Linked DNA regions of Macaca fascicularis. The main gene of each other region encodes a partner of the protein of the gene in region 2 in a complex. Links are inferred from orthologs where the notes say so. Each region holds a gene or a part of one and is shown on either strand. Other genes may lie near its edges. The genes, in order: ARHGAP35 and RASA1.

Region 1 (4,412 bases), on a different chromosome or scaffold from region 2:
GGCACTCAGCTCCTGTGGCAGGGAGAGCCTGCAATACCAGAGGGCAGAAATCTGAGTGACACTTGGCACTCTCTCTTTCAACAAACAACCGCAAAGTGCTTTCCAAACCCAAGCCCTCACCATTTTGAAGACCAGGAAGCTGGAGCCTTCCCTGGAGCAGAGGTGAAAAAGAAATAATAAGCCCACCTTCCCCATCCCCTCCCCCAAGGTCACACTGCAAACCAGAGGCCATTAGGGAAGGCAAGACTGTAGCTTCCCTAGGTCCAAGTGTGGCCATAACCCCCAGTGGGATCGGGAGAATCTGAGAACTGGCATTTCCCCAGCTAGAGGTAAAACAAAATGACTTGTCAGCTGGGGGAAAAAAAAGCACACTCCTAGGGGTGCTGGCTTAGAGGTGGAATAGGAGACAGGGTACTGTATGCAACCGCTCAGAGAAGGAAAGAGGGAAAGTGAGAAAGAGAATAAAGATCTGTGAGCAGCTGCAATCCCCTTTTCCAAAGGACACAAAGCTGCAGAGCCCAGAAATCGGAAGGGGGAGAGCAAACAGCAGAGAAAAGAAAATGGGGCAACGGAAAGAGATCTACCTCCCTCCACACTACTAACCTAGTGGAAGTGGGAGAAATGGGGGAGACACTCCCAGACTCCACAGAGCAGTAACAATCAACCAACTCCCACCTATTTACCCAGATCTCTCAGGATCCCTGGGGATAGAACCCTCAGGGTTAGGGTGCAGAGAGAGAATCTGCAGTCTCAGAGCCTGAGAGCCTAAGGCCCAATCCAGCCCCTTTGCCTCTGCAGCAGAGGGATGGAAAACAGAGAAAGACATGCCTGAAAGGGGAAGTGCTCAATGGGGAATGGGTGGGCCACGGGTGGTGAGCTGCGATGAGCAGGTCTGATAGGAACTAAATGGGAAGAGGAGCCTGCCAAGATACAAGGGGAAAGGGAAAAAAAAAAAGGTGAGGAAGGAAACAAGTCCAAGACGAACAGAATTGGGAGAGGGATATCAAAGGTGAGTAAGGGGAGTGAGAATCTATCACAGCACTGAGGCAGCTCCAAGAGGAAGGTGGGGGGGATACATAGGAAAGAATGATTAAGAAGACATCTTAATGTCACAATTGGAGGGAGTGAGAACTCCAAAAGAAGACAAGAGGCAGGGCAGTGGACGGGGGGGCAAATAAAGCAGAGTGAAGGGTGAAGGCTGAATCAAAATGGTGGGGGGAAGAGAATGTCATGTGGAAAACTTAAGACTCGGGAGGGAACAGAGAGGGGACACAGTGACAAGAACCCCAGTGTTAAAGGACCGCTCCAAGCGCGGACGGCAATACAGAAGTTAAAAACCGGTCTAAAAACATGCGGGCAAGTGGACAGCTCCGAAACAGCCGAGCTGGGGAGGGAAACACTAAATAGAGGATGGGGCAGAATTGAAAAAAACGAGGAGAAAGTGCAGGTACAAAATGGATCTAGGGGCAGGTCTGTGAGATGCACAACGGGAAGGGGATGGGTGACCAGCCCGGGAGGTATCAGAGGTATAGTGACGTTAAAGGGCATGTCTAAGGGCTAAAACGGGGAGGAGAGGAGTTGGAGCAAAGGGGACAGGAAGCAGTTTTTAGGCAGAGAACTGAAGGAGATACAGGCCAAAGAAAGGAGTAGCAAATGCATGCAGTAGCTCAGAGAAGTGCCAAAAAGGAGGTGGGGGAAACAGGAAACCTCCAAGAGAACACTGGGGCTGAAACTGAAGGCAGTCTGAGTTAGGGAGAGATCAGTTGAGTGAACAGCAGAAATGGGAGACCTGCAGAGTCAGAGAAGCGGGAGGAGGCTGCTTCCCGGGAAGGCAGTCAGAAGCAAGCAGGTGAGGGGAGCGCAGCAAGATCTGAGGTCGGGCAATGGGCAGAGCTAAGAGGCAGAAAGGTATGGAAGAGAGGAAAGGGTCTGAATGGCAAACGGTAACAAGAGCTGAGAAGGGGAAGAGGCAAGCACGGTGCAGCCAAGTCCGAGGGGATCAGGGGAATGAACTGGGGCACGGAAGGGTCAGAAGGCCAGCCGAGGGGCATCCCGGGGTGCAGCAGGCTCTGTGAGAGGGCAGACAGAAATGCAGATAGTAGGGCCCACGAGGGAACCGGATTAAGTCCAAGGGGAAGACCTGGGGCAGCAGTGCCTGGTTGAACAGGGGTCTCAGATGGATCTCCAAGGGGTTGGAACCGCAGGTCCTAAAGGGACAGCTCCCAGGGTGCAACATATTCTGAGACAAGAATAATAGCACAGCAGGTAGGTCAAAGAAGGGGCCGAGGACAGATCTGAAGGGTGGTGAGAGCAGAATCGAGAAGAAGCAGAAGGGTCACGGATCTCAAAAGTGGGAGCCACAATTAAGGGATGCAGAATGGTCAATGAGAAAAAGGTGGGTCCCAAGAGCACTGCAGAGCCCGGGAGGAGCGAAGGGCATTATGGAGGGGTGGAAGAGGGAAGGGGGTCGCAGAATTGGGAGCCGGATGGCTGAAGTCGGAGAGGCTCTGAGGCAGACACCGAGATCCCAACTGATCGGGGGTGGGGGCGGCAGCGAGGACAGCAGGGCTGCGGCGGGCAGGGGTAGGTCCAAAGGGCAGAAAGGCCCCACGGGCCGGGCCGACGCGCGAAGCGACGGGGACGGCGGGGCCCGGGGAGCTGGGGGGGCCGCTCCTCCCCTCCCCCTCCAGCTCCTCCATTGTTCGCGGGCTCCGGGCCCCGCCGTCCCCGCCTCCCCCTGGACCCCTCAGCGGGGCGGCGCCCGGCCTCGCCGCCCGGGGCCCGTGAGCTCGCGCACTCACCAGCTGGGCGCCCTCAGCGCGGCCCCGGCCTCCAGGATCCCGGCAGCAACGACGGGGGCCCCGGCGCCATGTTCCCCTGCTCCTAGTCCAGCGGCTGCTGAGGCGGCGGCGGCGGCGGCGGCTCCGGCGGCGGGGGGCCGGGCGGACCCTCCCTCGCGGGTTCCCTCCTCCGCCTCCTCCACCTCCTCCTGCCGCCGCGCCGCGGCTCTCCCTCGGGGCGGGGGGCGGGGAGGGGAAGGGGGGAGGGGCGGGAACCAGGGGGAGGGCGGACCAGCCTCGCTCACTCCCTCCCTCCCTCCCTCCCTCACTCGCAATGGCGGCAGCGGCTGCACCTCCTTCCTGCGACGGCCGCTCCCGCGCGCGCGCCCCCTCGCTACTGCGCGTGCGCGGCGCGTGGACCGTTGCAGGGGGATAACGGCCCCTGGGCGCGCGCCGCGAAGGGACGACCAGCGAGGCAGTGGGGAGAGGTCAGAGCGCGTGCGCACCCGAGGGTCTCACTGCCACCGCCGCTGCCTGAGGTTAGGAACCGCCGCGGACGGTGCAGTGCGCGTGCACCCCCAAAAATGCAGCTACTGCGGCGGCCGCCGTCGTGACTGAGCTCTAGGCGAGCTGCAAACGAGCAGAGGGAGCGGGGTGGGGGAGCGCGCGTGCGCGGGGGGCTGCCAGCCAGCGCAGCTGTTGGCGCAGGGCAGAGGGAGTGGCCCGCAGGAGGAGCGCGCGTCTCCGCGCGCGCCTCAAGCAGCCGATCTGCCACCTCGCGCTGGCTTCTGGAGAAAGCCGAAGGAGAGAGGCATGGCCCGGTTTTGGGGGTGGGGGGCGAAGGGCGCGATCCCGCTCGCGCGGGACCTGAGCAGCCAATGGGAAGCAACGGGAGGTGGGTTTGCCGCGCGAGCCGCAGCCCCCGGGATAACGGAGGAGGCCAGAAGGAGCGACGTAACGTGGGGCGGTGGGGCGGGGCTGAGAAGGAGGGAGCCCACCAGAGAGGGAGTTGATTGGAGGATATGAGGAGGCGTGGCCCGCCTCAGCCCAATCCGAGCCCCGCAATTCGTCGTCCCGGAAGAAGAGGCGGGGATGGAGAGCGCGTGCTCTTTCTCCTGGCTGTGAAGAAAATCCGCAGCCAACGCGCGCGTCCTTGCAACTTGTTTTTGGTTCTGTGATCGCCTGATCCCCAGGAGAGGGAAGACGGCCTGGTACTGTGTGCAGCCCAAGCCTGTCACTTAGCATTGTGCAAATGACTACAAATCAAATGTCAATTAGGGCGCCTGAAAGGAAAAGAGTAGTGATGGGAGAGGGCACCGCTGTAACCCTTGACTCCTCTGAACTGAGGAGGTGTTCCTCTGGGACTCCTCCGGAAGTACAGATCGTGGAAGATGAGCTTCCCGGGCGCCAAGCCAATATTTGTGGAATGCATGAAGAAAGGCTGTTTCCTATTACATTTGGCATTTCTGCCATAAGTCTCTTCATCTATAAAATGGGATAATAATCATACCTCTCTCGTAGGGCTGCTGTGAAAATTAAATAGATTATATTTTGTAAAGCTCTGGAAATCAGGCCTTGCATATAGTAAGCGCTCTGTAAGCGTTGATAAAATTACATGGGCTTGTTTATTCC
Region 2 (4,358 bases):
AAGCGATTCTCCTGCCTCAGTCTCCTGAGAAGCTGGGATTACAGGCACCTGCCACCACACCAGACTAATTTTGTATTTTTAGTAGAGAGAAGGTTTCTCCATCTTGGTCAGGCTGGTCTCAAACTCCCGACTTCGGGTGATCCACCTGCCTAGGCCTCCCGAAGTGCTGGGATTACAGGCGTGAGCCACCGCGACCGGCAAAATTGGAATTTTTAACACTCCCTGAACACTCCCAGGGACTCTGCATTACAATGACATGAAATAAATTGTCGTGTAAAATTTGAACAAAACTCTGACGCAAGACTTGAACCCTTTATTGAGGAATATAAAAGGTGGAACACTACATCCCTATAACATGGCTGGCATAAATATGACTAACTTTACTTTTCCACTTTAAGTATCAAAAGATGTAGCCTTAAGTCAAAAATAGATGAGGGTAACAGAATCTTTTCCTAGTTTCAGTCCTTTCTAAATGCTCCAAAGAAGCTTATCCAAAAAAAAAAAGGCCGGGCACAGTGGCTCACACCTGTAATCCCGGCAGTTCGGGAGGCTGAGGCCAAGCCGACCACCTGAGGTCAGGAGTTAAGATACCAGTTTGGCCATATGGCGAAACTTCGTCTCTATGAAAAATACAAAAATTAGCCAGGCATGGTGGCATGCACCTGTAATCCCAGCTACTAGCGAGGCTGAGGCAGGAGAATCTCTTGAACCCGGGAGGCAGAGGTTGCAGTGAGCCAAGACCATGCCACTACACTGCAGCCTGGGCAACAGAGCTAGACTCCATCTCTTGGGGGCAATGGAGAGAGGAAAAAAAAAAAAACCTCTGAATTGTCCAGAATGACTGTCAACATATGAACCAAATCTTTCTTTCCTGATATTCACCAAGGTTGTTAAAATTCTAAGGGTCAATTAAGAGTTATACGAGAAACCTATAACAAGTTTTGCCTAATACCACTTCCCATCGCAACATTTTCATCAAGGTCCACCTTTATGAATAAACACCTAAGTTCAATTAAGACAAGTGAGGAGGTATTAACTTACATTAAAAAAAAAGTCATTGTCCTGTATATTCTACTTAATTTTCAAATAGAATACTATACTGGCCACCAACAAAAAATGTTTAAGGGAAGCTCTGTTAATTTTGTTTTGTCTCACTGTTGTACTTCCAATGTCTCGACTATAAAAGCTAAGTGGGAAGCCTAGGGAAGAAGATACATTGTTGAAACAAAGGCGCTTAATCACACCTATAATTCACAGTATTCCTTTCCTTTCTCTCTGACCCAAGTTCTCATTAAGTGACCCACAGACTCTTCTAAACATCACTATGCTTTCTCTAATCAGAAGCTGGGATGTGCACTGAAATAAATACATTCTAACCAATACATTTTTCAAATTACTAATACAATACTCGTTTAAATATTTGTATTCAAAATTTCTCACTAATCATCTAGCTTTATCAAGTAACACAAACAGGTTAATATACACTATGACTGCCTTGGTAGCCGCAGTTTGACTAAATCCTGGGACACCACTTCAACTTGGAAGGGACAGAACCATATCCGGTTCTCATCAGATACACATTTTCTCATACTTTCCATCTTAAAAACTTTACACCTTCCCAGAAGAGCAATAAATGTAGGAAGACGCCAGGTAGTATGCCTGTAAGGAAGATAAGTGATCAAATTAAATTCCTACGCAAGAAACCTGAAACTTCAAAAACTTTTCCTAAACAAATCACAGATGAAAAAGACAAAGTATGGTTTACCCCATTTCCACTTCTTTTCTGGAGCCAGCTGCCCAAATTCCTGAACAGCAGTCTTAACTTACTGGTTAGTTGGAGGAGCGGTCAATGGTATGGCCACCTCTTCCTCCTCGTATTCTGGTCCATCCAGAGAGTCACCTTCGTCCACTGTCCCCAGGCCCGCCCCCAAAGGGGGCAGGTAAGGGGGAGGGGGCAGAGGGGGAAAACCGCCGCCTGGCCCGAGAGTCTCAGCAGGCAACGAAGTGGGCAGCTTGGTGAGAGCCATGTCTCCACTAGGTCCAGCGACAGCAGCACCGGCCACGCCAGCAGCAGTACCTCCCCCTGTCAGTCCGGCTCCCCCCAATGCCCCTGTCATAGACCCGGCTCCTAGGAACCCTGACCCCAAAGCGGCTCCGCCACCCAGAGTTCCAGCCACTCCAGTCTCCACCAGCCCAGGATAGGGGGCGGCTGCCACAGGCAGGGCCGCGGGTATCTTCACCCGACACACTGCGGGATAGGCACTGGAGCCCGCTGCCGCGCCGCCTCCTCCAGCTCCGGCTGTTACCGGGCCGCCCTCCTCACTGCCGGCCTCGGCCGCCATCATGTTGAAGCCCGCTCTACTCTGCCCTACCCTGCCCGCCCGGGAGCCCCGGGGGCCACCAGGCCCGGGCTCCGAGCCGCCCCACCCAGACGCGTCTCCCCTTCAGCTCCCCAGGCGGAGGAAACAACAACAAAAGGAGAGAGCCCGCCGCCGCGCCCCCTCCTAGGGCCACAGCCCAGGCTCCGGAGCTGCTTGGGTTACGGGAAGCGAAGTGGGCAAAAAACCCAACGCCTGCACAAACGCCACCCAAACCTCACGGCACACACCCACACTCACGCACACAAACACATGTACAGAAGCGAAAACTTCCTGGCTGCACTAAAGAGGAAAGGAAGCACAGGGAAAGAGGCTTAGGTGGCTATCGCTCCTTCAGCAGCCACCACCGCTTCTTCACCACCCCAGTTCCGGCCACCCACACCGCAGCCACCGCCGGTGCCGCTGCTGAGGCTGGGGCCACTGCAGCCGCTTCATCCTCCACCAGGCAGATGAGAGGGGTGGGGACAAGAGAAAGGGGGGCGGGGTAACAAGGAAATCGACTGAACTGCTCACTACCTGGAGCTCTCAGTGACTGAAACCGTAGAGAGAGAAAGGAAGGCGGGGCAGGGGAGGAGGGACGGAGGGAAGGAAGGGCGGAGGAGGGAGAGGGCAGCTTGTGCGCAGGCGCGTTCCCGGAGCGGGGAGCGGGGGGCGGGGGGCGGGGGGCGGGGGGCCGGGCCTGGAGGAAAAGGAAGAGTCCAGAGGGAAGGAAGCGGCGGGGACGCGCGGTGCGTGGTCGCGCTTGCTGTCCTACTCCGGTTCCTAGCGTGCGGCGGCGCGGCCGCATCTCCTGTTGGCGTGGCCGGCGGCGCGCGCCTGTCTCCCGGGGCTTTGTTTGATGGGCGGGAGAAGAGGGAAGGGTACCTGAGCACGCGGGTGCTCGGCGCTGTGAAAGCCGGAGAGACGAGAGGGGGACCGGGAGGCGGCGGAGAGGAAGAAGGGGGAAAGGGAAAGGAAAATGCCTAGAAACTAGTTCCGTACTTCCTGACCGGTGGAAGAAACAGCCTTAGCCAGCAGCGCAGAGACCATGCAGGAGTCAGGTAGCTTTGAAGATCGGGGCAGTACTAAATGTTGTCTTTTTCGTTGCATGCTATAAATCACCATGACTATCTCACACACACACAGATAAAATAGATTCTGAAACTCCGAAACGAAATAAAGGGCACCATATGAGAAGGGTGGGGAATTTTGGTAGAAATAGTGGTTATGAAGTAAGATTTCTACTAGTATTTGCATAGGTTTTTCTTTATCAACTGTCTCATATACTTACCTATGCTATTATAAGTCTGTTGGATACTGATGAAGAGGAGGGGGTGCCACAGAAAACACTAATCAATGCACTTTTGTCCTCTGTGTGCAAAAGACTGCAGGGTGTGATCCGCAATGCAAGCACCTTCAACAAGTCAAATGTCAAGAATGTCCCAGAATGCCAGTTACAATTATATATCGTTTCTAAAGTAGCAATAAACTGAAAACTCATTTTTAATACAATTAAGGAGAAGAGTGTTATTTTGTCTTCTACACTAAAATGTATACAAACTATTACATGCATTCATGTACAGGGAGCTTCTCATGGTTTGAAATTAACGGTATTGTTATTTTAAATTCTCCCAGTAGTAATCCCACGTTGAATACCATTGGATATTGATCTTTGAGATCAGTATTTTCTCTGCTAAGGATGATCAAGCCAACACTCCGGATGGCAAGTGGTTGTGATAGAAACAAAGGAACAAGAGAAAAGACCACTAAAAGAGGTGGCAAGATACAGGCAATGCATTTTCTTTGTAAATTTGCGTAGGCCTATTTACCTAGTCGATGACAACGATCCAACTTGATTAGGAGTAGTCCTGGGACCTCCATTATGCTTATGTCTTAGGCAATGTGCTACTTGGGAGAAGGAAGATGAACCAGTCACAGGAGCTAGAGTTCTCGAGTGAATTAAGGCCAGCAATATCCTAGGAATTCAGTAATGCCACCTCA

The links.
Region 1: the proteins of RASA1 (region 2) and ARHGAP35 are in contact, whole or in part, in a crystal structure (PDB 8DGQ), measured with the Homo sapiens proteins. The link is inferred for Macaca fascicularis from reciprocal best matches to the Homo sapiens genes RASA1 and ARHGAP35. Residues at the interface, in NP_002881.1 of Homo sapiens: Arg188, Arg207, Ser209, Arg211, Val217, Asn228, His229, Phe230, Arg231, Ile241, Gly242, Tyr256, Leu262, Leu263, Lys264, Lys358, Ser379, Asp380, Asn381, Ser387, Gln397, Arg398, Phe399, Lys400, Met411, Gly412, Gly413, Arg414, His425, Tyr426; in NP_004482.4 of Homo sapiens: Ser1085, Asp1086, Tyr1087, Ala1088, Glu1089, Pro1090, Met1091, Asp1092, Ala1093, Val1094, Val1095, Arg1098, Glu1100, Asn1103, Ile1104, Tyr1105, Ser1106, Val1107, Pro1108, His1109.

The regions. Positions count from the first base shown.
Region 1 is NC_088393.1:54,850,579-54,854,990, reverse strand, and holds the start of ARHGAP35 (rho GTPase-activating protein 35), read right to left. Parts: upstream 3,021-4,412; 5' UTR 2,802-3,020; intron 1-2,801.
Region 2 is NC_088380.1:91,254,697-91,259,054, reverse strand, and holds the start of RASA1 (ras GTPase-activating protein 1), read right to left. Parts: upstream 2,913-4,358; 5' UTR 2,346-2,912; coding exon 1,828-2,345; intron 1-1,827. UniProt on the Homo sapiens protein: Inhibitory regulator of the Ras-cyclic AMP pathway. Stimulates the GTPase of normal but not oncogenic Ras p21; this stimulation may be further increased in the presence of NCK1.